Lonchura striata: one gene and its partners. The protein of the gene in region 1 purifies or fractionates together with the protein of each later gene. This does not show direct contact. Links are inferred from orthologs where the notes say so. Each region holds a gene or a part of one and is shown on either strand. Other genes may lie near its edges. The genes, in order: RALBP1, CCDC6, AAK1 and REPS2.

Region 1 (7,975 bases):
GCTATTTGGACACCTGGCTCCCAAGCCTCTCATCCTGCTGGCTGGAGTGACTTGAAGTTTGCTGGCATTGCACAGTGACACAGAGACCCACACAACATGGCTACACTCCAGTCTCCAGCCCCATGACCCATGGTGCCCTGACCTACAGCTGGCACTTACACCTTCATGGGAAAAGCCTGGAGACTCGTAGCCTGGGAGGAGCTGAATGAGAAGAGAGGACAGACTGTACTGATGGGGTACCTGCAGAGCACAGCCAAACAACAACCTTACATTTTCCTGTTGGATGGTAATGTCAGTTGGGCTTGGCAAAAGGAACACCTTTACCAAGGTTTGATACATTGCCTTGGCACGACATCTTTCACCAAATCACCAGTACATCATTAAAATGTGTGCTACTCACATGGGAAAACACACTTGGATACAAAATCTTCTTAGAAACAGAGCAAACCCTGATTCAGAAAAGTAAATCTAAGATGTAAAGGTGGCCGAGGCTCAAGTTTTCTTATACCCTTTTCATTGCTTAAGTATTGTCCTAGGATGATGTTATGGTGTTTGTATCTCCAATGTGTGTTCTGTTTATGTTTGATATTATGTTCTGTGCTTTCAGAACTGACTCTGAAAGTGAAGGTTTGTTTTGCCTTGTTATCAGCCGGTTCACCTCCCCCCATGGTCTGCTGTCTAGAAGAGGCTAGTGCGGGCTGGCTTGCTTTTGTTTGCTTGCTTGGCTTGCTTGCTTTGCTTGCTTCTGCTTTTGCCTTTGCTTCCTAGTTAGTTTAGCCAAGCAGTCCAATTCTTTCCCTGGACTCTTTCCTTTCCTTTTCCTGAATACCATCCAACCTGCTCCGGACTGGGACCTGGGAAACGCCAAGGAACACCGAGAGCCTGTGCTTTGTGATCTGCAGCAGACATCCCCAGTGCCAGAGAGCAATCCCCAGCGTCCAGACCCGGGCGACCACTCCCAGGAAAGACTTTCTGGATTTGTTCATCTCTTCAGAGTGGTGAAAGAGTTTTGTTGTCATCTGGTGTGAGAACCCCGGGCTTGGTCAGGGGTCTCGTGTGGTGCTAAAGTCTCTCCTCCAACCCGTGCTTCCAAAGAAAAACTCCGCAGGCTCTTGTTGTTTGGTCCCAAGGCAGTTTATTGTGAGTTATCTAAAATATTGTCTTTGCGGGCTGCGGCTGTTTGATCAGCGGCCCAAGCAGAGACACACACACCCTGACACCCTCACTGTCTGGTGTCTTCTTCTCCCTCCCCGCCCAGGGCTGCTGCTATCTTTTATATGATATATTACATATTATATGTTTACAATTTTTCCCCAATACCTACTACCTATATTACAAAGTGCTTTTCTACTCTAAACCAATTCATAAGTGCCAGCATCACCAAGAACATGGAGGTAAGGAAAAAGAAGGAGGAAGAACAGGATCAGCCCACTTTCCTCCATCTTAGAACTTCTGACCCCCATGTACAAAGTAAAAACCCCCCTGTACAGGTGCTAAAACCCCCCTGTACAATACTAAAAAAATTTCCCCTCTACTTTGTAACTACTTTTACTATACTATCTAACCCTTTGTGACTGCTTGTTCCACCTCCAAAGTTGGTAAATCATTCCATGGATCAAACTCAAAATCACAGCTGTTTTTCAGCTGTCTGCCAGGGTCTAAAATGCTTCTGACCAAGGCCTGGAACCTCCAAAAATGTCTGAGAGACATTTTGAGTTCCAACAATCTGTTGTTAATTTTTTTTTTTTTTTTTTTTTTTTTTTTTTTTTTTTTTTTTTGGTGCTGGGGAGTGCTTTGTTTGTTAAATAAACAGGTTCTTTTCCACTTCTCTCAGAGAAAATTTTTTTTTTCCCGAACCAGGTGGGTGGGGAGGGGCCATGGGGGGTTGTTTTCTGGGGGCTCCTTCCAGAGGGTTTTCCCCAAATTTGCCCTAAACTAAGACAAGTATTTATAAATTTTCTTCCTACCACAGAGAACTTGGAATTACTTGGCTTTGAGCAACCTGTTCTAGGGTTGCCTGGGGCAGAGGGGTTGGAAATAAGTGGTCTTTAAGGGCCCTTCCATCCCAAACCATTCAGTGATTCTGTTGCTCCATAATACTGCTCATAGGAGTTGCTTAGGCAGAGTTCAGGATCATACACCTTTTTGGCTCTGTTCTCCTGCTCTGTGGTAATTTCTATGAACATTTTTTCTCCCCCAAAGGCATGAACTAATTTACTACCTCTAGGTTTTCCTGTTGTATCTTCAGGCTCTCATTGTTTCACTTGTTTGTTTCAGTTTGTGGCCAACTCGTTTCTTTCCTAAGCTAAATATTTTTATGTTTGCTGTGTATTCCTTTATTGCTAAGGAGAATTACACAGCACATCTGAAATTATCCCAGAATGATACAGCCCACATAGACTCCCATCTGTTCAAGACAAACTCAACTCCAGAACTGGCTTTCTTGAAGTAGTAGTAGGAGGAAGGAATTATTTATTAACACAGCTATGCCTTTCCCCTTTTCTTTCCCTGACCAAATGCTTTCTGAAGCTCTCCTCCATTATTATTTTATTACTTTTATGAAGCTCAGGTACATCAGTGAGACTGATTTTCCATGCAGAGAGCTTGCCACCTCAGAATCCTTGCTTCACTTTGTCTTTAAAGCAGTAAGAATTTACTGAGTGAATGTGAGGCAAGCTGAGGGTGTAAGAAAGTGCCTCAGTCTGTGTAAGTTGGTCCCAGACCACAGTGAATTTTGCAAGTCAGAAACCCTCCAAATCTGTTTCACATGGCAGTAAATTGGTATAGCCAGCACTGCATACAATCATTTGTTTGTCCTCAAAATCTGGGAGAAAATTCATTCTGGGCTCATTAGCTGATGAGCCCATTGTGCATGAACTTTTGTTGGCAGTGGCCTCTAATAATACACATTCTTCAGCGCTGAGAGCCTCTGGCCACTGTCACTTCAAGTGGGGATCCTCATGGGCAACCATCTCAAATTACTACGGGATGTTACAGAACTAACCCTTCTCTCTTCTTTTGCCAGGAGTAAGGCGGCCTTTATATACAACAAAAAAAGAAACACATTGGCTGTGATGTTAAGTTAAATAGCCTGGTGAGCCTTTGCTGTTACACTGTTTCTTCTGGAGAGGAGGAGGGAGACTGGAATTTGCGAGGTTATGTAAAAAGTGGTGAAGACAATATCCCTGTGCTCCAACACTAATCGGAGTGTTTACAACCCTCTCTTTTGTAGCTTCCACTGAATAGCACAAATTCCTGTGGGGGACCTTTTACATTACCGCAGGAGGTGGCACAAAGAGCTCATTCGACAGGGACTAAGCAGCACTGAGTCTCAAGTGAATAAATGGAGCAGGTGGCACGCTGCCACGGTATTAATGTGTCCAATAGGCCGGGGATTATGCTCGAGGCTGTGGGAATGAATCGGCCCTGCTTCTGACTGAAACAAATTCCCCTGTTGATGAGCAATCCTGAAAGGGATTCAAATTACGCAGGTGCTCAACGTAACAGAAACTTCCATTGTAAGAGGCAAAAAACCCCCACAAAATTCCTTATAACATCACTGTAAACAGGATGCATCTTGAGATGGGGATGTGTTCCTTGGCACAGGTCACCTCCAGCAGCATCCAGAGCCTTTCCCCATTTCTCTCGCATTCCAGAAAGCAGTAGAGAGAAGTGGGTAACTCCTCTCAGGAGGTCAGATTTGTATGGTGGATGAAGCCGAAGCCTTCATGTGAACGGAGGAAGAGGAATTCTGTCAGCAGTAACATCACATGGAAGGTGGTCCAGGCGCCCCCACCTGCGGGGCTGTGTCAGCTCCCACTGAGACTGATGGCTTGTGGTGTTTGCTGACCTCCCATTCTGACTAGTGTAATCTCACAACTCACTTGGCCATACCCATCTGTAATCACTGCCAAAAGAATCTCAAAATAACATAACGGGTCAGATTGGAAGAGACCACACGGGGTCACCTAGTCCAACCTCTCTGCTCAAGAAGGATCATTCCAGAGCACACAACACAGGACTGCGTCCCCACATGGTGCTTGAATATCTCCAGCAAGGGAGACCCCACAACCTCTCTGGGAAATCTGTTCCAGTGCATGGTCACCTGCACAGTGAAGTTCTTCCACATATCCAAGTGGAACTTCCTGTGAATCAGTTTCTGCCTGTTGCCTCTTAACCTATTGCTTGACACCACTGCAAAGAGCCTGGCTCCATCCTCTTGGCATCCTCCCTCCTTCAAATACTTATATACGTTGAAGAGGTCCCCTCCCAGTTGTCTCTTCCCAAGGCTGAACAGGTCCACCTCCCTCCGTCTTCCCTCATAATAGAGATGCTCCAGTGCCTTAATTATCTTTGCTGCCCTCCACTGGCTCTGCTCCAGGAGCTCCATGTCTCTCTTGTACTGAGGAGCCCAAACCTGGGCACAGCACTGCAGATGCGGCCCCACCAGTGCCGAACAGGGGGCAGGATCAGCTCCCCCGACCTGCTGGCAGCGCTCTTCCCGCTGCAGCCCAGGACATCCCTGGCGTTCGTGACCACAAGGGCCCTGAGCGCATGGCTCAGGGGCGCTTGCGTTCCTTGTGTTCCCAGAGGACTGATGCACCTGCTGGCTGCCGGCTCCCGGCGGCTGCTGAGGGGGCTTCGCACACGTATCCCGCCGGAGTCTCCTCAAGCAGCCGGACCCCGCGGAGCTTCAACAGCGATGCGGGGCAGCGGAGCTGGAACTCCCTCGCAGCGCGCTGGCCGCTGGGAGTTGTAGTGCGGCGGCCAGCAGCAACCTGGAGTGCCCTTGCCGGCAGCGTTCCCAGTGGGAACTACAACTCCCGTCGTGCTCCGCGCGCGGGGAGCCCAGTCCCGCCCGCCCCACCTCCCCGCCCTCGCGGCCGCGCGGAGCGAGGCAGCGGCGCGTGCGCGGTGGCGTGAGCTCGCGCCGCTCCCCGCCCGTCCCTGCGAGCGCCGGGCGGCGGCGGCGGCGGGATGGGGCGCGAGGCGGGGCGTGCCCGCCGCGCGTGAGGCCGAGCCGGAGCCGCTGCGCGGGCGAGCGGGACCCCCCGACGGTCAGTGCGGGGGCGCGGGGGGCGGCCGGCCCGGCCCGACGCGCCGGTGAGGGCCGCGGGGCCGTCCGGGGCCCGGGCGGGCGGGGGCGGAGGGAGGGGGGCGCCTACAACGGGCGGCGCGAGCCGCCACCGCCCCGCGGCTGCCGGTGGGGGAGGGGCCGGCGCGGCCGCTCGGCGGGAGGGGCGGGGCTGCCGGCGGCCACGCCCACCGCCCCGCTGGCGGCGCTCCCCTCCCTGCGCCGCCGCCTCCCCTGCTCCTCCATCGCGCTCCTTCCTTTCCTGGCTGTTTACCTTCCCTTGCTTTCCTCCCTCCGCTCCGCTCCCCGCGCTGTCCCTCCTGCCCTAACGGGGGCAGGCGCCGGGCACCTTGTGCGCCCTGTTTCCGTAGGCGGCTGCTCCCTTTGGATCGTGCGGGGCTCGTTGCAGCTCAGTCTGGGCTGTGGGTTGGCTCTCAGCAAGGTCGTCTTTCGTTGGGTTTTTTTGGGTTTTTTCTTTTTTTTTTTTTTTTTGTGGGGAGGGAGAGGTCAGGGATTTTTATTCTTTTACCTTCGCCTAGAAGTCTTATCTTAAAACCCAGAAAACTTACTGTTATTGTAATTTTTCTGCATCTAGTGTGATTAGCTGGTTCTAAGAATGTCGTGTTTCATACCTGATAATGTTGCTCAGAAAGTGTGTGTTACTGTTCATCATAGAATCACAGAATGGTTTGGAAGGGACCTCAGAGACCATCTAGTTCCAACCCTTCTGCCGTGAGCAGAGACACCTTTCACTAGACCAGGCTGCTCAGAGCCCCATCCCAGATGGCCTTGAACACTTCCAAGGATATGTTAGTGGGTTATATATGAGCAAATACATCTTTTTTTAAGTGCTAACAGATGTTCAAACAGGTGACAAAGAAAATACCAGCAATCCACATTGAACGTATCTGTTCATGACAGTGGTGTGGATTTCCTCCACCCCAGTGTCCCTGAGGTTAATGATAATTGTTGATAGAAAATAGTAATTTTTAAAAAAACAGGCTAAGGCCTTTTTACTTGTTACATAAACCAGGGTGATTTGTGCAAGTCCCTTGTTTCAGCACAGCAAAACAGCCCTAACTGTGCCCTTAAACAGGTTTCTGATCTGGAAACAGGTTGATGTGCTTACCATGAGTGTTCTGCATTGCCATAACCCACCCTGTCAGGAATGATGTTAAGGCTTCATTGGATATGATGCAGAACAGTAATGGATGTAAATTTATTAATCAGCTTACAGGAAAATGGCAGAGGGATCCCTTAGATCCCTTAGATTTGGGTTTTGATTGAGTGTTGTGTACAGCTGGTGGTGAATGGTGCTGTGCTTCAGTTCATTTCAGCGCAGTCTGGGTATAATCCCTACAGTCAGTGTGACAAGCTCTTGGGGGGCACTTTTCCACAGAGAAATAAAGTGGAAATAAAAAAACCAAAACCCTTCCAGACTGTTGTAGTTTTGAGCATTTAGTACTTCTAGGTGTGTGAAATTTATTAACCCTTTTGCTGTAATGTTCTAGCTAACTACAGCAAGAATAGAGTGTCTGTTACGTTGAAGTAGGGAACTTTACATTCCCTGTCCTATGGGTCTTATTTCTAGCTTGGAGAAAATAAATTTTCTTTAGTCTTCCCACATCTGAAATGGAGCATAGGAATAGCTGCCTTAAAATCTTAATACTCCACGCACAACTTCAACATTGTTCTTAGTTAAGGTGTATTCAGGAGTAGGAGGGCATACTTTGTAGTTTGAATTGGTGGGGCTTTTCCCCAAAGTAAGGATTTCCCAGTGAAACCGCTGGTGTGATTGTAGTTATGTGAGAAAGAAAGTTCTTTTTCTGTAGGGCAGATTATTTCCATTTCTATATGGGCATGTCTGCACTGGAGTATGTTGTCCTGGAATTGTAATAACCGTGTTCCTGCTTTGGAGCTGTGTGTCTTGGTTCTGCAGATGTCCTTAAAGCAAAACTGACATGCACAAGCGCTGCATCTAACTCTTTGGGGTTCTCATCTCCACTGTGTCCTTCAGGCACCCTTCCCAGTAAGTTTTAGCTGTATTTTCTTACAGAAAAGGTTTGCATGTTTCCTGAATAAACACTGCTGTTTCTTATGGGCAGGTTTTAGACTGATGTGGAAGATGTTGCTGTTCAGCAATAAATACCACCAAATGCTAATTTATTTTCCTTCTGTAAAGCTTGATGTCATGTGGTTAGCCTCAGAATGCTAAAATATAGTATGATATTTACCTTCAGTTTATAGTGGTATAATGTAGCATAATCTACCAAGCTTATCTCTGAACTAATGTGTTGAATCAGTGAATGATTGGCTACTCTTACAACTAGTCATGGTTTGCTATGTGCATGGTTTGCTATCCTTCGTCAACTCCTGCTGTTCCCCAGTGCCTCATGGATCATAGTTTTCAAATTGCTGCTAAAAAAAAAAAAAAAATATATCAAATGGGCCCATAGTTGGGCTGGAAGCACCTTATGGAGTAGGAAGTTTTAGTTTGGCTGCGTCCGCAGAAGTGGTGGTGTTGAAGGGTGACTGCTGTGCAGATAAGGTTTACATCTTCTGCCTGCCATGGCCAAAACCAGAAGCATAAGGATGCAGGCTGAGTTTAGAGAAAGGACTGGTATGACTCCCTTCCTGTCCATACTTACCCTTCTCATCCCAGCCATCCCTCACCTTTTGGGCATGACATCAGGGAATACAAACTCAGTTGAAGGTGTGGAGGTACAGAAGGGTGAAACAGATTTTGATGGTGGCAGCAAGAGCAAGTCTGCAAAGCTTAATAGCAGCAGGGATCCAGTGCTCCCTGCTTCCAGTTTTTCTTTAGGCTGCAGTAAAAACTGGGGAATGACTGTTTACTTGGGGCAGCTGCTGCGAAGTGGAGGATTTATATGGTATTACCCA
Region 2 (7,010 bases), on another chromosome or scaffold:
TTCATAGTCAGATACTCTATCCTACTAAGAGACTTTTTTCCTAATACAGCTTTCTGATTAAATAATTGCTGGTCAAGAAAAGCAAAGCAGCATGACATTATTTTCTGAATTGCTTGTTAGAAAACATGCTTTAACTTGCATCAATATATGCCTTAATCCACAATAGTAGCGATTTGGGTTTCTTTTGCTCATACAAATACCTTTCAAACCAAACTTTGTCCCCTTCTACAACCTCTCCACATATGCACTCCATTTCCCCCTTTTAATATCCCCTTATGTACAAGTCATGTTCTTTTCAATGCTGCATCAGTTTGTTTTCCTAGCAGTATTTTTCATTAATTGCATTTTCCTGCAACTGTTTCTTTCCATTCCCTCTTCTCCCCTGCACCCCCATTTCAGTCAGGTACTCTGAGTACTATGCAGACTTTTTTTCCTTAGGTTAATTAGCTTCAGTTGGCCTTTTCCTCTTCAGTCTATAACTATTGAATATTTTAATGAAATTGTATTCTTACAAAAGGTCTTCCAGCTGATTAATGGACCTCTGGAATTACATAAAGGATTGCATTGAATCTCTGAACATACCTCTTCTAACCCCTCACACCTAGAAATGTACTTTATACAATATTTTTACTGTTGATGTGAGTTTATGGAACACTGTTTCTAATTGCCCATTACCTCCTGTAATGATAGTTTCTGTGAATAAATCCCTGTTTCTTCTTCTTGATTGGTCTGCTCTTCTACTATAAGGGTGCTGGTGACATTTTCATAGTCTTTATTTCTACAAACACCTTTCCCCCTTACAGTTCTGCATTTATTTTTCATGCAATAAGGAGATACTGAGGCAAAGGAGGGTGGGGACCTCGTCCTGCAGGTGCTGTGGTGGTGGCAGGGTGGTTGTGGTGGCTTTTCCTGTGATGCCAAGCCCCTTGCTGCCTGCAGTGGGGACCAGGACCAGTGGCACTTGAGCAGCCCTGTCAGTGGGGCAGCTTCTTCTTTAAGTGTCTTCACAACGAGGTTTTGCTAATTTTGCTTATACCACATATTTATACCTTTTTAATTGATTTGGTTAACATCCTACAGGTGTAAAAAGCATGTGATTTTTAATTTTTTGGGGGTGCTAATTCGGGTAACATTTTCTCTCCCTGTTTAATCTATTAATTAGGAGTAGTTGGTTGTAATTGTAATTAAATATAGAGGTACTGTTTTTTAAATTACTGAACTGCTGTTGCAACAAGAAGGATGCCGTGTCAGATCTAAACATCCAGAACCCTTGAGTCTTCCTCCCACTCCCCCACTGACTCAGTGTTTGTCATTGGGCAAGTAACTCAGCTTCCTACCTCCCTTTCTTGCCTTCCAGGGCTATTGTGCGAATTAATTAGATAATGTTTCAGCATAGCTTTGAACTAGAGACAGACACAGAAGTGCCAAGTTATAATTCACTGTTATGAAAGTCAGCTTGCTGGCTGGGAGTGAGACCTCTGATGCCAGCCCGGCAGGGACAGAGGGACAGCGAAAGCAGGCAGGGAAAAGCTCCCTTCTTGCCTCAAGATCCCTCATCTCCACAGCTGCTGTCTGCACCACCCCAGAGCTGCTCTGCTGAAGGCAGCACCAGCAGCTGCCTGCTGTGAGCCCAGGGATGCAGCCCCTGGCTGAGCCAATGCGGCCCGGCTGCTGGGTTGAGGAGGTTGCCTGCACCTCCCTGTCTGTTTTCAGGCTAATTTTAGTGTCTGAAGGAGCAGAGGACACGTCCTCTGAAAAATTATAGTGCTCCAAATCAGCAAAGCACTTAAGATTAACATTGATAGGTCTGAAGAGTGGCTTAAGGTTAAGCACGCCGTGGGGCTTGCTGGGTAAGATTAGCCTGGAGCAGATGCGTGTTTTGCTGATTCAGGCTTTCAAAATATTTAGGCCTTGATTCAGCAAGACACTCAAATGTGGGCAGTACTGGCTGATCAAAGCTGGGCAGACGGATGGAAGATAGAATATTGAGGTATAAACCTGCTAGTTCAGAACTTTGTTTGATTCCAGGAGCACGTGTGCATGCGCGCAGAGACAAACCAGCTTTCCAGCTATCGCCTGTGCTGCGGAGGCTGTGCATGAAATAACATTTCCTCATGACCCAGGGGTGTCCAGCCAGCTTCCCAAATACCAGCACACCTATTTGAAAGAAATTCTGGTGAAATGCAACTACCTATGCAAACCAGCATTCACTATATTCTGAATCCTATTTTAATCCCTCAAGGTTTTTATCCCCGAGCCCATGCTGGTGGCAAGGCTCAGCCTGGGCACGGTTGCAGGGTAGAGGAGCTGGCAGCCACCCCAGGTGCCTTGTTTTTCCCTGCAGAGCCAGGGTCTGCTGCAGGGGCACTTTAGGACAGCACTGAAAAAGGTCTCATGAGACCTCATGGACATCATCAACTACTCTGTGCATCTATGGCAGCATCTCTTGAGGACAATGCTCTTATGTTTTGGGAGAAATTCCACCCTAATTAAGCCCAGAGATGGGAAATGCAGCTGAGGGGCAGCAGCTGCCAGGGTGGTCATGAGGTTTGCTTGGTGGCTTTAATGTCCTGGGATGCAGGACCTTTTTTTCTTGCCTGAAAAGCCCTGAACTGATGCCTCCTGATGGGCTAAGGAAGAGCTGTGGGTCTCTGCTGGTGCTGGATGGGGATCCCCACTTTCCTCCCTCTCCATTCTGAGCCTTGTTTGGGGCAGCATTGTGTGCTAGGGACACACAGATGGAGATCAGAGGAAACTGCAGTTTCCAAGGCTCAGAACGAGGAGCACCCCTTTTCTTGTGATTAAGAGACCAAAAATAAAATGACCTGCACTTATATTCCCAGGCAGGTGAAAAGAATAATTACTTTACAGAGATGGAATTCCTTCATATATTATAACCATTAAAAAGAGTAAAATTTGAAATTTACTATGGCATGAAACAAAAAGGTAGTGCAGTTAGAGATAATGAAATCCTTGCTTGCCACTAATGGAAGAAGTACTGTTATTAAAGACTCCTTCATAAATAATTGAGAAACCAATTATACAGTCTTGGGACTAATTTATCCAGGAGCAATTCAGACCATGTTTTTCCATAGAATGAGTGGCACAAATTCTCCACTATAGTTCGCTGCTGCTCTGCAAAGAAATAGTAAAAAAGGAAGAAAAGAAAAGAAAAGGAAACTAATGCACCTACTAATCAACAAATACATTATCAGTAATGAGAGATGAATGTCCATATATCGTAAGGCAGTTTTGCTGATGTATGGAGGGTTGAATTAACATGCCAGTTGGTTGGTCTGTGTGCTGGGTGGGGAGCAGGGCTGGTGGTGGGGCTGTTCCCTCCGACTCCGACCCCGGGGCTGCTCCCCCAGACCCGGGGGCTCGGCGGGTGGGGTCCCGCTCCTTCTGCTGCTGGTGTCCAGCCCCGAGGGGCTGCGAGCTGCCCCGGGCAAGGGGCCTGGGCCGGGGACACAGCCCGGGCAGTGCCGTGGGCGCCGTTTTGGTACAAAAATTCTTAAACAAAACAAGGTTCGGGGCCGTTTGGGTCGTGTGCGGCGAACCCCCGGGCTCCCCGGCACGGGTTTAGCGATGCAATGAGATGAGTCCCGCTGCTTCCCGCGGGGGTCCCGCTGTGCAACGGATTCCCCCGGCCACGTCCCGGCCGGGCACATCCCGACATCGGGTTGGGTGTGGAACAGACCCTCCGGGCACATCCCGGGCCCAGGATTCGGTGTGTAGGGAGCGCCCCGGGGAATATCCCTCGGTCCCGAGTTCTGTGTATCCGAGATCCCCTCTCCTGGCACATCCCGGTCCCGGGCTCGGAGTGTCCTGGCTCCCCGCTCCCGGCCCGTCCCGGTGTGTCCCGGCGCGTCCCGGCTGGCGCGGTGCCGGCGCGGGCCGCCAGGCGGCGCTGTGGGCGGGCGCGCGGCCCGTCTCGGCGCCGGCGCGCGGCGGGCGCCGCCCCCTGCTCGGGCGGCGGCGGCGGCGGCGCGCGCGGGGCGATGGCGGACAGCGCCAGCGAGAGCGACACGGACGGCGGCGGCGGCAGCGGCGGCTCCGCGGGGCCGCTGTCGGGGGGCGGCCCGGGCGCGGGGCCCGGCTGCGGCACGGCGGGCGGCGGCGGCTCCTCGGGGGGCGGCAAGGCGGGCGGGATCGTGATCTCGCCGTTCCGGCTGGAGGAGCTGACGAACCGCCTGGCCTCGCTGCAGCAGGAGAACAAGGTGCTGAAGATCGAGCTGGAGACCTACAAGCTCAAGTGCAAGGCGCTGCAGGAGGAGAACCGCGACCTGCGCAAGGCCAGCGTCACCATCGTGAGTGCGGGCGGCGCCGCGCCGGGCCCGGCGGCGGGGAGCGGGGGTGTCCCCGCCGCGGGGTGTCCGCGCAGGGCGGGCCCGGCCCCGGCCGCGGCCTCCCCGCCGCCCCCGGCCGCCTCCCGGGCCGCCGCGACCATCCCCGCGGGCGGGCCCGGCTGTCAGCGCGGCCCGGCCGGGGGACGCGCACAGGTGGGGTCACCCCGCGCCCTTCGCGCCCCCTCCGGCTCCGGGAGGCGGCGGAACCGGCGAGCACCGGGCGCTTCCCCCGGCCGGACCCGCGTGGCCGCCCGGCGCCCCGCGGGGAGGCGGCCCCGCCGCCCGCCCTGCGCGGTGTCCGAGCGGCGGCGCTCGGGGAGGGGCGGGCACGGGAGGGCCGATGCTCTGTGCTCCCCTGAAGTTTCTCGAAGTAAGAGGTTTCCTTGGAGTTTCAGTAATCTGCGGAGATTACGGATTATCTCTTCAGCCACTGTGCAGAGCTGCAGGAATAGCGTCTTGGTCATGAGGAAGTGTCTGTGTTTGTAGTATTTTGTTTTAGCTGTGGTATTTCAAGTTATTTGAAAACTCATTTAAATAAGTCTCTTAAAAATAATGCGAGTAGAGCAGCACTCTGTCCCGGCAAGAGCTCAGCTCCTGGTTTATGACCACTGTGAGGATAACTTGGAGTTTAACACCATTTTATATGATGCTGTTAGGCAGGAATCCTCAGAAAAGTGTGTATCATAATACTACAAAAATATTGTTCTGTTCTTCTCTATGAGCTTGGGAGTTAAGAGTTTAAATTCGAGGGATTTTTGCTAATCCAGCGACTAAAGGCATTGTTTAGGTATTGTAATGGTCATGGTAGAGTAGGTAACTTGCTAAAGACCTGTTAAAGGTAACTGATACTGTCCCGACCGTCCCTGCCAGTGCAGGTGGAGATGTTTTAGGAGAGACTAGTCCCTCCTGTGTGTGCACACTCTCATCTCATCTAATTTTTCACAGGGAGTACTTCGCTGCGAGCATAATGTCTGTTTTATTGATACTCAGCTTTCCCATTGTCAATACATCTAGCCAAGAAATGGAGCTTGCCTAGGCATACCTCTCATCTGCTCCTAGTAGTAAGCATTCAGCGTCTAGCAGGATGTGGGCCGGAAGAGTGCATGAAATACAATACAGAAGTAATTTATTCAAGGATGACAAATATAGTGCTAGTCGGGGAAATGTGTGCTTTGTTAATACTTTACGAGAAGAGAATGTGCCTTAATTAGGTAGCGGCGGAGTGCCTTCTAATGTTGAAAGGGTCTAAGGCGCCTTGTCAGTCAGACATTTTCTCTCTGCCTGTTGGAAAGGCACAGCATCTTTCTGAACCTCTGGTAGATGTATTGTTTGTAAACAACTTGGAAAAAATGCTTGTGTGCATTACAGTTCTGGCAATGTCTCTAGGGACTGATCATTTTACCTTTTTATCAGATTTTTATTTATAAAAAGGAGATATTTTCCTTAAATCTGAAACTCTGCCTGCTTTTAACATCTTGGATAAAGAGAAGGAGAGGTGTTAGACTTTAATGGCAACCTGTAGGCTGTCTGGAAAAACGACCGTCTTTAGCTGATGCTGTGGCTTTGGTATGCTAAACTGTGTGCACGACTGAGTAAACCACTTCTAATTCAGCAAGCGGTGAAAAAACGAATGCAAAACAACACTTTTTTTTCAGGCCAGTGAGACCTTGTGCTGTGGTTTACATAGTCAACAATGTAAATACATGTGAAGTCAGAATACTTTGTTGTGTGGCTCTAGTATGCAGGTGACTGCAAATGAACTTTATTGGAATGTTGAAATGTGTGTCATTCACATGTAAACGTCACAGGAATAGAAAATTTTCTGATTGTCTCCACTGTGATTCTAAACCTTTGTCAGTTTGCTCCTCCAGCTCCTCGAAGTGTTGCTGCGCTGACAGACGGGCTCATTGTATGTTTCCTGTTGTGGGCATTGTAATGACACAAATCAGCTTTGATTTTTATCAAGTGTTGAGGACGAGCTGTGAAGCACAAGTGGACCTGACAGGTAGCCAAAATAGCAAAATAGCAGGTGAATGACTAAACCTGTGTGCTGTAGGTGAAGGTGACTCCTCGAACCACACAGCTCTTCACCTCCAAACCTTTCACTGATTCTGTTTTAGCTTTTTGTGTGCAAGGTCACAGAGACTCTTGGCTTTCTGCAGCTCCCACCATTGTCTTTATTGGTTCTGAAAATTTTCCCTTTAAAGTTTGCGAGTGATGGTCTTCCTCCTACCTCTTGTGTCCATGGTGGTGTAAGTGTTAATATGACATCTCTTTATGCTTGCAGTATTGTTGGTGTCAGCGTCAGTTTAGGAATTACCTAAATTGCTTGCCATATAGGATCTTATTAGTTCTATTTGTAGTTCACCCTTGTGGCTACAAGGGTTGAAAATAAAGTGTTAATTAAGCATAGGAGACCCACATTAAGTAGTTGCACTTGGAAAACTGAGAAAAGGTGTTGGCTTGGCAGGTTTAGTATGCTCACTAACTTCATGTGTATTCTCATCTAAAACAAGTGAAAACAAATGCTGCTTTCAAGCTGAAATTGGTGAAGCCAGCTTGGACTAAGCGTACGCCCAAAAATATGTGTGAGCTGTACTCCTTCCAGTAGCCTGAAATGCAAATGAAGTTATGCTGCTGTTCATGTGCAAGACTGTGAAA
Region 3 (6,906 bases), on another chromosome or scaffold:
GGGGATTGCATTCAGCTCTGTGAAACACCACTCACCCCAAAACCAGCCACAATGCCCCTAAACCCATACTGGGGCACTGTGTGACTTCAAATCTGACCCTGCAGACCCCCAGGACCAACAGCACTGCCCTCCCACCACAGATAATCCTTCTGCAAACTCTGAGGGGAATTTTTCAAGAGCTTATTTGTGCTATTATATAGATTAGAGCAGGAGAGTTACAAAGACCCAACTAGGTACAACCTATTGCAACACACTGTAAAAAACCCACTGATTCACCGTATCCTGACGCCACAACCAACCCCTCAAATTCCTTCTACATTATTCCCATCTACTTCCTTCTAAAAAGGAAAGGATGTTCCTCCCTGCCAAGGCAGGCAAGCATCCAGACAGAACTATTTTTAGGGGTGAGGGGTGCTCCTAACCAGAACAGGTAATTTGGGAGATCCACACAAGAGCCCAGAGGTATTTGGAGCCATTTGCCACTTGGCACAGGCAGTGCTGCAGCCAGGGCACACTCCTCACCAGCAGGGTTGCTCAGCAGAATTCAGGGTGACCAGGCACAGCTCTGAGAGCAAATCACAATGTTTCAATTCCAAAACTTCTGGTTCAACTCAAGTCTCCTCCGCACCATTCATCACTGCATCAGTTCTCTCTTTAAGCCACTTTTACATCTCTTTTTTTTTTTCATGTTTCACAGGCTGCACCTAAACACAGGCCTCCCCCCTCCCTCCTAAAGCAACGGGGATGACAGGTCCTTCCTTCCCAGACAGGATACTCCTCCTACAAAGTGCTTCCCAGGGGACTTTTCCTTTTAGCAGAAATAGCCAGGAGTTGCCTCTTCAGCACTGCTGGAACCACTGCAGATACAGAGAGGTTTTCCAGCCGAGGTTTCAGACGTCAGGAGCGTGGGGACCGGGCTGCCCACGAGCTCCCCAGGTCTCCAGCTGAGTCAGGGTTTAGAAAAGGCTGTTTACCAGCACACTCAGCCACACTCAGGCATGCAGAGCTGCAGCACTCCTGACCCACGCTGCTCCCCAGCTGGCCCAACTTTCCTACAGAGGAAATGGCATTGTCACTGTTCCCAACAAAAGGTGACGAGCTGCAAACCGACACACCGCCTTGCTCGTGTCCCCTCTGCACACAGAAGGATTTCACACCGCCCACAGCAAAGTCTCGCTGGGAGGGAGATACCTGGGCAGCACCTTTCACCAGAACTCCCTCTGCCTCACAGAACAAACACAGCCCCTGCTTCACAGGTGTGCTAGCCTGCTGTGAGCAGCCCAGAGCTGCAGGCCGTGCTCCATCCCACAGCCAGCCCAGGAAGCAGGAGATGCAGGGAAAAGCCCCCACAAGCAGCAGCTCCCCCCAGGACAGGGAGGCAGAGAAGGGAGGCTCTTCTCTCAGGCAATTCGTGCTCCCACCTCCACCTCTGCTGCAGCAGGAGAGCCCGGTGACACACGGCTTCGCTTCCCGGGGCAGAACCTGCCAGCACATTACTCATCAGCAAAAAAAGCCTCTGCCTTCCCATGTTACCAGGATGAGGCCATCCTGCATTAAAAAGAGACTGACAGCTTCTCAAGTTTAGCTCATGTAGATCCTAAGCTTCCAGGGCCAAAAGGGCCTCGCAAGTATCAGTCCAGGCAAACCTGTATTGCAAATTTCAAAGGAAAAAAAATCACTATAGCTGCTAGGTAAAAGCCTGGTTTTGGTTCTCCTCTCAGCAGAACACATCAGAAACCAAGTCTAAAAAAACAGCCACAGACCTATTTTCTTGTACACCGCGGTGAATTCTTACAAATCTGAACACAGGCAGCGTACACAGAGTCCCTTTTCCATTTTAGGGCTCTTTCTGTAAAAGCCAACACAGGTCCTCCCACTCAGCTCTCTCCCAGCAGCTCTCCTCTCCTTCGCCATCAAAACAAAACACTGTTTGGACTAAATCTGCCCAGGATGCTGTGCAGGAGGCACCAGGAGCAGGTCTGAAGAGGCCAACATCTCTCTGAAGGTCGAGGCTAAGGTTACCAGGCAGAGCCATGCAGGAGGTTCCTTACAGCCCCAACAAATGAAATGTAAAATGATAGTTCAAGCAGCAGGGCTGGTTACAATTAAACAAATGCCACCAGCAGCTTGCTGCACTGCAAGGCCTGCACACATCATGAGTTCCATAACCCCTAGGATTCATTTTTAGGTGTCTGTTTTATTTGGGGAAAACAAAATAAATAAATAAAATTATAAAAAAAAAAAAAAAAAAAAAAAAAGGCAATTGGGATCACCACTTCCCCTTGCAGACATCCCACACACAGAGAAATCCCTCATCCCAGGTCACAGCCAGCCTATGTACATAACATAGCTACAAGGAATTTACTCCAGTGTTTTAATCCTCTCAGCTTGAGATAGGAAAGGAGGTAACAGCTGAAGAAAGTTTAAGAGTGAAGGACACCACTTTTTTTATTTACAGCACCTTGTTCTGCACCAAAATATTTGACAATTTTGGTTTGGGTGTTTGTTTATTTTGTTTTTTTTAACTCCCAGTTTAGAAGAAGTGAGAAACAACTTCTAACAACATTCCTCCAATTTCTGAAGCATTAAAAAAAAAAAAACAAAAACAAAAACAAAAAAAAAACCAAATCCAGGAAACCCACACTGGACTTACAGATGGGAAGATCAGACACGTCAGCTTACAGACACCACTGGACTGCAATTCTGCCAAGGACGGTGAAATACTCAGGAATCCGGGGGTCAGGGAGGAGGCTGGGTGCCCGGGACAGCTCGAGGCCTCCCTTTCAGCTCGGGGAGGCAAAAGCAGCGCTCAGAACGGCACCGGGACCTTACCTTCCGCCAGCACCTCGTCCACCGTGACCTGGTGCCGGCCGATGCTGAAGACCCGGCCGATGTAGCCGCTGCCCGGGCCGCTGCTGCCGCCGCCGCCGCCGCTGGTGCCCGAGCCGGGCCCGGAGCCGCCCTGCTCCCGGCGCGAGTCGAAGAACTTCTTCATGTCTCAGGAGGCGGCGGCCGCCGCGACGCCGGTGTCGGTGCCGACCCCTCCTGGCTCTGCCGCGGCCGCTGAGCGGGGCCCGGGGCCGCTGGCCCGGCGGGGCCGAGCCGCGCTGTCCCGCGGGGACTCACACCTGCGGAAGCAGCGGGGATAACGGGCTGGCGAGTCACCGCCGCGGGCCGCTCCGCGAGCCCCGACCGCGCGACCCTGCCCGGTACCTCGCAGAGCGCGGCGGGTGCCTCCATGCGCCCCGCGGGGCCGGCCTGCGCAGCCCCACCGGCTCACGGCGGGGGCCGGCTGCCGGCAGCGCCCGGGGCCCGCATCGCTGCCTGGCGGCGTCACCGGCGACCACCGAGCCCGTCAGGGACACGGACAGGGACCGACCCCGCCGCCGCCGCCCCCCGCCGGCCCCATCCGACCAGGAAATGGGCCGTCACAGGAAGTGCCGGCTGCCGCCGGGAGCACCGCCCCCGCGCCTCCGCCAGCTGCGGGGCCCGGCCCCGCCGCCCCGGGCCGTCCCGTCCCGTCCCGTTGCGTTCCTCCCTGTCCCGGGATATCGCGTCCACAGCGTCCCGTCCCGCGGGCCTCGGAGCGCCCCCCGCCCCACGGTGCGGCGGGCGGGGGAGCGGGGGCCCGGCGGGCTGGCGGCGCCGCGCGCGGCATGCTGGGGGCGGTAGTTCGCCGTGCCAGGCGGAGGGGGGGCCCTGGGGGCGGCGGGGACTACAAGTCCCGGCATGCCGCGCGGCGGGGCCGTGAGGGGCTGTGGCGGAGCGGCCGGGCCGCGGTCGCTCCTCAGACCGGCCGGGGCCGTGAGGGGCTGTGGCGGAGCGGCCGGGCCGGGGTCGTTCCTCAGACCGGCCGGGGCCGTGAGGGGCTGTGGCGGAGCGGCCGGGCTGGGGTCGTTCCTCAGACCGGCCGGGGCTGTGAGGGGCTGTGGCGGAGCGGCCGGGCCGGGGTCGCCCCTCAGACCGGCCGGGGCCGTGAGGGGCTGTGGCGGAGCGGCCGGGCCGCGGTCGCCCCTCAGACCGGTCGGTACCGGAGGCCCCCACAGGAACAGCGGACGGGGCCCGGGGGCTCTGCGTCCTCCTCGCCGCGAGGGATGAGTGCAGAAATCCTGTCCGTGAGGAGCCACGGCCCACATTAGGGCTTTGCACGATGACGTGCTCAGTACAGAAGGTTCACGTGCCCTTCGGAATAAATATGAACCGAGTAAAGTCTCAGGTGCTTCGATCCATTATTTTTAATTTTTTTTTAATTTCTCTGACTTGTGAAAATCCCCAGGCATCTCTCAAGACTGGTAAAACACCCAGTGCAAAATGTGGGTCCCATCACTGGGGATTTCTGGGGACTCTGCAGAACTGAACAATTTCCAAGGAAATTGGGCATCTCTGTAGAGCACAGGGAAATTACTCATTTCCAGCTAAAGAAGATAAAAGCATGCAGAGAGCTGCAGATGCACTGCCGAGCTTTTTTTAACCGTACCTGCAGTGCAGTGCAGGCAGTGTCAGCCCCACGCACGGCTGTCAGCCCACGGGCACACAAACCCCACCCATGACCGCTCTGGGCAGCAGCAGGCTGCAGACGCTGAGGATGTTCTTTATTCCAGGAGACACAAGGCTCACCGCACTGCTGCAATCCCTGTGACCTTCACGGGGATCAGAGGGAGCTGAGCCTGAAAGCTCCAAGTGGAAAAGCTGATCTGTGGCCACAGCACAGATAGGGCCTGGCGCTCCTCCCGTGTCAGAGTGACTCCAAAGTGCTCCCAGCCTTGTCCTGCTGCAGGCAGGAGCCTCTGACTAATGCACTCAGTCCTAAAAAACAAATTTTAAGCTGCTGAAATCCCATGACACAAGGTTTAAAATATCCGAGTGTGGTCAGCAGAGCTGCTTCCCTGCACATTGTCTCCCTGATCCCTGGTTCTCCTGCACCGCTCAGAAAATGCATTCAAATCCCCAGGAAGAAGCACATTAATACAGCTGCATCCCTCTTCATCAACTTTCCAGCCAGCTCAGCATTTTCTAAATAAAAACACAGGCCTGGGCAGGTTTCCTGCGGCCCCGAAAGGCGAGGGCACACTGGCCCCTTCTGGAGAGCTCCGGGAGCAGCAACGACGGAGAGCAGCGCTGGCACAGCTTCCTGTGCTTGCTGCCACTAAACTGGCCAGGGGAAACAGCCGTGGTCACATTTTCCTGACTTCACCGCATAATAATGTAGTCTTAATCACACGGCAGTGTTTATCTTGATGAGGATGTTGGGAGAGCCTTTTTTACACAGTGATAGGGGTAACTGTTTCAAAGTAAGGGAGAGATATTCAGATTAGATACAAGAAAGGAATTGTGCCCTGTGAGGGGGATGAGGCCCTGGCCCAGGGTGCCCAGAGAAGCTGTGGCTGCCCCTGGATCCCTGCAAGTGTCCCAGGCCAGGCTGGACAGGGCTTGGAGCACCCTGGGACAGTGGAAGGTGTCCCTGCTCATGGAGCCTGGAACAAGATGAGCTTTAAGGTCCCTCCCAATGCAATGCATTCCACAATTCTGTCTCTTTAATTATACATTTACTGCAAAAAACTCTGTTAAGCTTCTCACCAGCAAATAAAAGATCCGCTGTTCTATCCATCTCCCTGCCTGTGATTTTCTGGAGTTCCAGGATTTCTTTCCAAGCCCACAGTAGTGGCCCCCAAACACTATTAGCATAATGAGAAAAATCATCACTGATCTTCATCACCTCCAAGAAAACATCAGTTCTCAAGCACAGTGTCATGCAGCTGGGCTTTACTGGGTCCAGAGTTGTGCAGAGGAACAAAAATACTCCAGAAGTCAGATCTGTATTTCACATGCTTAAAAACTTCCACCTCCTTGGTGCTCCTGTTTGTCCCTGCAGGAATCCTCACTGGCTCCAGCAATGGCTCTTGCTTCCTGTGGCTGGAAGCCAATCTTCCATCCACAGAAGTGGCACACCCAGAAATAAAGGAGCTGATTGAGCTCTGCAGGCTCTCGCATGTGGGATGCAGCGGCCTGGATTGACCCTGTGCACAGCCAGGGATGGAGCACTGGGTGGGAAAGAGCTGTGTTTCTCAGGGAGCATGACTGCACCACAGCTCCTCTCTGTCCCTTCAAGCAGCTGCTGTCACCCTAAGGGAAGTTTGCAGGCTAGGTTCTCCCGGAGAAGGGATTTATCAGCTGTGTTTCCAGTGTCAGGATCCTGTTGGGGCTCCTCCTGCCCCAAGCTGCCTCACCTGGGTCTGCCCACACCCTTTGCTCACTTCTGTTTCAGAGCAGGGTCAGGAAAAGTCATCCTGAGCTGGGCAGTCATAGCTCTGTTTCCATCCCCTAGAGCTGGGTTATGGCCAAATTACAGAGCAACTAAGTAAGATTAAACTAGATGGAGGCAGATACTAATTAAGAAGAAAAAAGTGAAAGCTACTCATTTCCTCTTCAGAACTAATGAAAGTAAGCATTCCTTAAGCCCCCTCCCTCTCTGGAGGTTTTTGCTGACTCCTGTTCCCCTTTGGATGGATTCACGGTCACAGGCAGCCAGCGAAGCCATCAGACCACCGATGGCCCCGGACTGTTTTCATTCCCTGCTGTTTATAGCTTTAGTGAATAAAAGAAAACAGCAGACTGGGCCCGTGGCCAAGTGCAGCCTTCAGTTTCTCTGTGGGAGAAAGGCAGAGTGGGTGGGTATCTCTGAGGCAGTGTCAGCACAGCATATGCTGGGGGACAGCAGTGTGGAGAGCCCCCCGCAGCTCTATCAGCCGAGATGCTGCTAGAGCTGTCAGCGTGAGGAGCTGTGAGAGCAGCTGGGATCCCCTCCTGTGTGCCCACCTGCAGAACACGAGCATCCCCACCCTGGGTACCCGGTGATTGAAGCACTCTTGGAAGGGGAATTTGACTCCCGGCTGTCTCATCCCCGCA
Region 4 (7,424 bases), on another chromosome or scaffold:
CTAAATTGTTTTTCAATTTCACATGAAGCCATTATTTTAAAAGAAATAAACTGGAGGCACCATGATAGAATACAATGGAAATGAAGATGTACTTTCCTGGAAAGTTACCTGAAAAGCACTGTACTTTTTGTCCTTGCTCTTACAAAGATGTGTGCATGGGCTTTATCTTCTGCAACTAAAGCTCATACTATATGCATAAATGTTCATAAAAGGACTTTACAAAAAGACTTTCTAAACACAATTAGTTGTAATACCATTTTAAGTTACAAAGCTTTCCTGGAACCAAGAAACTTTACATACCAGTAAATCAAAACAATTCAAGTATTTATTGTTTGCTAGAAAAAATAATGTCAGTTATGTAAACTGGATTGAAAATTGATTTATGAAAGTATGGCTTAGATCTGTGTGTGGTCCTCTTTCCCTCCTTCCCTCCTCTCCTCCCAACTAATTAATATGTGGATATTTGTCATATATTTTGTGACACAAACTCTAGTTCTCCATTATGTACTCAGTTGCTTACAGAAAACAAACAACCTGCCAGGAATTGCATCTTCCACAATGTGCAATTTATGCTGCTATCTAATTTTTGAAAACAATGAATTGGTCAGAGTAGAAAACAGCTACTATTTCTTAGTCTTCTTCATGCATTAAAGGTGTTAACAAGCTGGAAAATAGGGAATCAAACTGTACAATTAATTAAGCATTTCTCCTGTTTTTCTTAGAAATAGGATCTCTTAATAAGCAACTATGCAAAGAAGAATATGAGTATTTGCATGCTGAATCTATACACTAAACATCAGGCTTGTCAAGTGTATTCCAAGCATGTCTGATACCACAGTCAGGAAACATGTCCCACCAGTTGCTTGCCATCAAAGTCTTCTTTGATTTGTAAAGAAAGTAAATAAAAAGAATTGTTATGAGGGACAGTGGGTGATATTTACTTGAACTGGTTTGGAAAAAGCTAAATCACAGTTTTCCAGCCAACCATTTGCATAAATTTCCAAAGCTTTACTTGGCGATATATGGAGTGTTTCCACTGTCAATGGAAAGCAGCTGTCAGCCAGATCTCATGCCTTTTTGGCCAGGACAAGTCTGACATGATCTCAACCCTAAGACTTGTGAAAAAACACATGAATCTGAGTGACTAGTGTTTGGTTGTACTGCTCAAATAAAAACTCCCAGGATCTCCTAAATACTAATGTATCGGGAGAATTTTTTTACTGGAGGTTAGGTTTTATGTCATATTATACATGATAATTTATACTAATTTATATCCTGAACAAAAATATGCCTATCATCTGTTATTTCCATATTATTATATATACTGTTATTTTCATTAGCACATCTTTGGAAGTAGTATTTGTTTTGGTTCTTGGTTGTTTTTTTTTTTTTTACTTCGACCTCTGTCTCCCTCCCACATGTGATCACACAATTATTTGCAGGACTGCTGCTGGCTGACTTCAGAGTAAGTAATTGCATTACTAGTTGGGTGGGGAGGGAAGGAGGACCACACACAGATCTAAGCCATAGTTTGATAAGTCAGATTTCAGTTCAGTTTACATTACTGACTATTTTTTCCAGCAAAAAATAAACACTTGAATTGTTCGGATTCTGATACTGATACGCAGCATTTCTTAGTTGTAGGGAAGCTTTGTAACCTGTAATGATGTCACAGCTTCCATGTAAACAGGAAGGCTGAATATGATATTTCTATGGCTTTTGTTATCATTAAGTGCCTCTTAGTCTGAACTAATGTACCGTCACAAGAACTTTATGGCACACAAAGGCCATAAGCGTCATTGCACAGGGTGCACTGGACTGAACAGAAAGTGGTGCTGGCACATGGGGTGGGTTGAAACTCCCCATAAGGGGTGAGTGCAGCAGAGGAAATTGGTGTGGTTGGCATTGCTGAGTGCAGAACACCTGCAGGGAGCAGACAGACACCTGAGCACCCCCTGTAATCCCCAAAGGCAAGCAGGGCTGCTCAGCTCACACCAGGTACACCTCTCGGCTCACACGTACTTGGCAGCTTAAGAGGCATGGATTTCCTGCCTGCCCCCTCGGCTTATGGTGGTTCACTTCTTTCATGTGTTGGAGACAACATGTTGGAGATAACAACGCTGGGGTAGACTGGTTGTGAACACAGCCACTGTGTAACTTCTGATGAGAGTGGGCTGTATGGAGAGAGGAATGCAAGTTTTAAAGGTCAAGGAAGAAGACAAAAACGTCCAAAGGAGAAAAAAAAAGCAGCTGCCTGTGTTGGCAGTAAGAGGTGTGACTGGTGAAACAGACTATTGTGTTCTGGATGGTGTGTGTTTCCAAAATCTTCCTGCCAGGTTCTACCTTAGAAAAACTTTGAAGAATTGACTAACACATCAACCAAGATCAAATGGTGTCTGCTGGAGTGTTGGCAAAGGGCGTATTTGTTGTGATGTTTTGTGTTGTGATGTTTTTGTGATGTGATGTTTCATAAGTATTGAGCTAGTCAGTTACAGATGAGCATTTTCAGGCACAGAAAAATGCACAAGGAGCACAAACTATTTACTGTGTTTTCTTTTGCTTGTCAGGGTAACATCTCTCCTGTTCAAGTTCATGTGGAAGCGAGCTGTTCTTCCACAAGCTAGGTTGAAGATATTTTATCATGAGGGTCATATAGTTAAATATGGCAATAATTAGGTATGGCCTTACATCCTCTCCACATGGCTGGCACCATTTCCTCAAAGCAGTACCTTGTACCTGGCTGGAGACACAGGAAAAGGCCACTAACATCTTAGGACTCTCCAAGTGATGTACCTTGCAGTCGGAGGGTCATTCACTCTGCTCTGCAGAGCCTTCTCAAGCAGACTTGCCTAATTTTTTTTAGCTACTACAGATATTTGCCACTTTAAGTTGGGCTACAAGATTCAGATGTTGAAATAGTCTTGCCCTCCTGTATAACAATATGTTTTAAAATGAGAAAATACCATGACAATCTCTGTCCCTAAAAGAAAAAAGATTTCTCAATAAAACTCCATCCTTAAACACATGTAGAAATTATTCACCTGCTAATAGCTGTATCTAACAACCATTCAATGTGTTCCACACATTGAGAAGGCAGGAACAGATCTTCACTTTGGATTACAGGAATTAAGAGTTTGCATTTTTTGTGCAAGTGAGAAGGAGGCACAGATATGTGGTGTGAAGATGATAAAGTAGCTTAAAAAAAGGTTTTAAAAAGAGGTAACAATGTTTGATTAACAAGAATAGAAGTGATGAGATAGTAATTTTATTTTTGGCTTTACAGACCATAAATTGAACTATTTTCTAGTAAAAATGTCATGTAAAATTATTACATTTTTATTTCATTTTTTTTCTGGATTAATACTAAAGAAGCATATAAAAATTAAACCACATTGACTTCCCCAATGTTTTGCATTCAGGAACACAAGTAACAACGTTGACCCGACATTGTTAATGGTACAGGATGGAAATACACAAGAGGTAGTCTTATTTCTCCATAGACCAGGCCATGTCTATGCACCAAAGCTGCTGTGAAGAGTTGTTGACTCCTCACAGATATTTACAAGGATCACCCTGTAAATATCTGTGGTCAGTTTATTCCTTGAACTTCCCTAAAGAACTGCTGGGAAGAAAGGCTGCAAAAACCAGTATGAGACACACAAACAACCTCCTGGCTGAGATGTCCCCAGCCCTCCCACCTCGGTGGTGATCTGCCTGACTTTTGAGGTGTTGCTTGACCTGTGAATGGAACATTTAGAGTGTCACTGCTGACAAAGGAGTAATAAAGAGGAATCTTGTCTCCAAGAACAAGGGGCTCTTTGCCCTTCACCTTAAAGCAAACACAAGAGAGAAGAGAACACGGTGAGATGCTTCTCTCTCAGACTGTCATGGCTAATCGATTAGGACTCACTGCAGAGTATCGAATGATGCCATTTCTTTTCTGTGGTGCCCACGTGGCACGTTCAGCAGCAGGTGGTACTTTGAAACGCTACTGGTGCGGGATGCCCCGTCCCCGGCAGTGCCCAACGCCACGCTGGATGGGGAATTGAGCAACCTGGTCTAGCGGGTCTAGCCCATGGCAGGGAGGTGGGAACGAGACGTCCTTTAAGGTCCCTTCCAAGGCAAGCCGTTCCGTGAGTCTAGGATGCGGGGAGAAGCCCGCGTGCTGCCGAGCGCCGTGAGCGCCGTCCCGCAGCGCAGCGGAGGCTCGGCGGCGCGGGCGGGCGGCCGGCGGGCCCGAGCGAGGGCAGAGGCGGGGCCGGCGGCAGCGGCCGGGGCACTGCGGAGCCGGCGCGGCGCTCACCGGGCGGGGACTGCACCTTCTCCGCCGCAGCGCGGCACCGCCCCCGGGCCCCGCCACACCTCCCGTCCCACCGCCCGGCCCCCCGGCCGTCCCCCCGCTCCCCGGCGGCGCGGCGCCCGCTGCCCGGCCGAGCGGCTGTGCCTGCGCCGCCCCGCCATGGAGCAGGGGCCGTCGGGGGCGTCCGGCCCCGCCGCCGGCACCGGGGGTCTGCTGCTGCCCCTGAGCGAGACCGAGCAGCAGCGCTACTCCGAGCTCTTCTCGCGGTGCTGCCCGCCCCCGGAGGCGGCCGCCGGGGGGAGCAGCGTGGGCGAGCTGTTCCGGGCCTCCCAGCTGCCCCCGGACACGCTGCACCAGGTGGGTCCGGGGCTGTCGGGTCCGGCTCCCCCGGAGCTGCGGGGCGTGGAGCGGGACCTGCTCCGGGAGAGGGTCCGGCGCTGCCCGCGGGGCCGGGACGAGGCACAGCCCTGTTGGCGGCGGGGCAGAGCGGAGCGGGGCCGGTCCCGCCCGCAGCGGCGATGCTGGGGCTGCTCCGTGCCCGCTGGCCTCCTGCAGACCGGCGCTGGAGAGCTCTGAGGGCTCCGAGCGGCCGCCCTGTGCCGGGCTGTGCCGGGCTGCGCAACCCCGGGCTCCGTTCGGGCTCTCCCCGTCAGGTCGGTAGTGCCGTCGCCTTTCTCAAAAGGGCCCCGAAAGTCATAAAGGCAGTTGTATGAAAGGACGTGCCATGTGCTAAATTCCTGGTTAACCACTGAGGGTTTTTCCCTAAATGTTGTTTCGGTGGGTAAAAAGTCCGCAGGTTAAGAGGATGTCGCGGTGTTTTGTGTCAGTTCAGGAGCGCGAATACAAGGTGCGAAGTGCGAGGGTCTCCCTTCCCCGTGAGAGCAGCAGAGCCCCAGACGTGGTCCCCAGCAGGGGCTGAGAGGCGGAGCCCGCCTGCTTTCTGAGGAAAAGCCTGTCCGGGGTGGGAGAAAGCTTGTGCCAGCCAGTTTCCAGGGACAGGGAGGAACCGGGCTTGGGTCTTCTCCACCTGCAGAGTGGTAATTTAACTAACACACTCTAGTTGCCTAATACCTCCTGAACAGAGATAGGATATTTCTGATTGTTTATCTATTTATTAATTTAACTTTTATTTCCAGGAATTTTGTTCTTCAATAGCTTTTATTTATCAAGCAGAAAAAAGTTATGTTGAAATGAAGGTCATGTACCTAGTGAACCTGATTGCTGTCCTGATAGCTGGCAGATCTTTTAATGGGTTATAGAAATTCGTATTGCGCAGGGGATTCTGAATGAAAATTGTGGTGTTCCAAGGATATTTTTCTTCCTATTTGTGTTTTTTACCAGATCAGTTAAACAAAAATCTTACCAAGCACTGTATTACTACCTTGTATTGAACCACACTTGTGACCTTGGTCTTGCAGGTGAATGGAGTAGTGAAAATAGAGATTTTGCATAGACACAGCACTAGGAGTGTTCTTCCTCTTTCCTCTTTTTGCAAAGACATTTAATTTCAAATAAAAAGGCTTATCCAAATAGCCACTTAATTTTCCCCAAGAAGTACAGAAAAAACCCTCTTATTTTAGCTATGTAGTTTCTTACCCTATCATTTAAGTGAAATTTATCATTATGTTAGTATCACAGTTTGTTTTCAGGGTCATTTTGGTACTAATGTGTGATTTAAGCCTGGAAGCGGTGAGGTATTAACTTTGGTTTTGTTTTGGGGGGTTTGTTTTTGCATTTATTTGTTGGTTTTGACATTCTGGGATTTTTAAAACTATTTAGATTATTTCCAGGTATATTTATGTTGTGGTGAGAACATTACTGGCAGAGAAGCCTGTAATTGGCTTCAGGAATATTCAGATAATAAGGCCTGTGGGATCTGGGTCTGTTTCTCTTTTTCCTTCCTTCCCTCCCCCTCTTGTTTATAGGGCACTAATCACAGTGGCATTCTGCTCTACTGCTAGTGTGCCTGTCCTCAGAACCCACAGCTGCCAGGTATTCTTACGTTTACTGAGACTTCAGGAAAAATCAATTAATGGAAGGAGTTAAAACAATGAATTGCAAATGGGGATGTTTTGATAGGGAAAATTCCACAATGTTATTTGAGATATTTTTCTGATGTTTTTTCTTACTATATTCCAAAAATGCAATTTAATATTTTCACATTAAAAAATCCCACCATTCTAACAGTTAGGGGAGCAATACACAGAGATTCCTGGTATATGTTTTCTGCTAGTACAGGGAATACCTATTTTAGGCCAAGACAGCTCATTTGGGTTAGGATAACATGGTTTCTTTGAAATAATTTTTGAGTATGAATGCTTTTTGGGGGTTTTTAATGCTTTTTAAAATCTCCATCTGTCACTATTAGTGTTTTGCATACAGGCAGCATCCCTACTGACCAACTGAGAAATGATCATGCTGAGTTTATTCGTGTCAGAAATGGGGAGATTTGGTTTGGAAACAGATTCTGGATTTCTGCTAAGAAGAGCCGGCACAGTCCAGCGGGTACTTAACACCATTCTCTGGCCGTGCATGGGCTGTGGCAAGAGACAGTTATAGATGGTTTTGTAAGCAATGGGCAATTTTCAGCTTTTTATTCTCAAGGCATTCATTGAGGAGTGGTTTTACAAATCAGGATGCTTCCAGAACTGACATTTAGTGCTGTGCAGTCTCAAACCTGTGCTGTTGACTTCAGTTGTACTTGTGTAATAAGTGGGAGAAATCTTTGAGAAAGAAGGAGCTTTTCCTTATACTGTTTGAGGATGATGCTCACAAGCATCACAGAAAATCTTCTCCATTTCCCCACCTGTAATGGCAGTATTTGCTGTTAAGACAAAATTCAGTGGGTGCATGCTGGATGGAGTAGTGCTGTTTGGGGTGTCAGTTCCTAGGGGAAAAGCAGTGGTGTGCGCACTCAGACAGCAAACAGGCAAGGATTTGGTTTGGTTTACAGGTTAGTTGGCTTACTCCAAGAAGATACATGGATGAAATAGGCAAGGTAACATCGAGCAGGTAGGGAATGCCAGAGCATGTGGCAGAAGAGGAAATGCTGGAATAAATGGAAAAAATCCAAGAGCAGCCGGGTCAGTCGGAGCAGATGGCGTGCACCCGAGAGTCCTGGGTC

The links.
Region 2: the proteins of RALBP1 (region 1) and CCDC6 purify together in Homo sapiens (affinity purification with mass spectrometry; 3 studies listed by BioGRID and IntAct, counting the BioPlex papers as one, with this or other methods). This does not show direct contact. The link is inferred for Lonchura striata from reciprocal best matches to the Homo sapiens genes RALBP1 and CCDC6.
Region 3: the proteins of RALBP1 (region 1) and AAK1 purify together in Homo sapiens (affinity purification with mass spectrometry; 3 studies listed by BioGRID and IntAct, counting the BioPlex papers as one, with this or other methods). This does not show direct contact. The link is inferred for Lonchura striata from reciprocal best matches to the Homo sapiens genes RALBP1 and AAK1.
Region 4: the proteins of RALBP1 (region 1) and REPS2 purify together in Homo sapiens (affinity purification with mass spectrometry; 3 studies listed by BioGRID and IntAct, counting the BioPlex papers as one, with this or other methods). This does not show direct contact. The link is inferred for Lonchura striata from reciprocal best matches to the Homo sapiens genes RALBP1 and REPS2.

The regions. Positions count from the first base shown.
Region 1 is NC_134603.1:51,665,928-51,673,902, forward strand, and holds the start of RALBP1 (ralA-binding protein 1), read left to right. Parts: upstream 1-4,969; 5' UTR 4,970-5,057; intron 5,058-6,826; exon of another isoform or gene 6,827-7,103; intron 7,104-7,975. UniProt on the Homo sapiens protein: Multifunctional protein that functions as a downstream effector of RALA and RALB. As a GTPase-activating protein/GAP can inactivate CDC42 and RAC1 by stimulating their GTPase activity.
Region 2 is NC_134609.1:4,139,343-4,146,352, forward strand, and holds the start of CCDC6 (coiled-coil domain-containing protein 6), read left to right. Parts: upstream 1-4,001; coding exon 4,002-4,310; intron 4,311-7,010.
Region 3 is NC_134634.1:248,351-255,256, forward strand, and holds the start of AAK1 (AP2-associated protein kinase 1), read right to left. Parts: upstream 3,011-6,906; 5' UTR 2,996-3,010; coding exon 2,833-2,995; intron 1-2,832.
Region 4 is NC_134604.1:100,730,484-100,737,907, forward strand, and holds the start of REPS2 (ralBP1-associated Eps domain-containing protein 2), read left to right. Parts: upstream 1-4,421; 5' UTR 4,422-4,459; coding exon 4,460-4,657; intron 4,658-4,810; exon of another isoform or gene 4,811-4,818; coding exon of another isoform or gene 4,819-4,953; intron 4,954-4,960; exon of another isoform or gene 4,961-5,337; intron 5,338-5,802; exon of another isoform or gene 5,803-7,424. UniProt on the Homo sapiens protein: Involved in ligand-dependent receptor mediated endocytosis of the EGF and insulin receptors as part of the Ral signaling pathway. By controlling growth factor receptors endocytosis may regulate cell survival.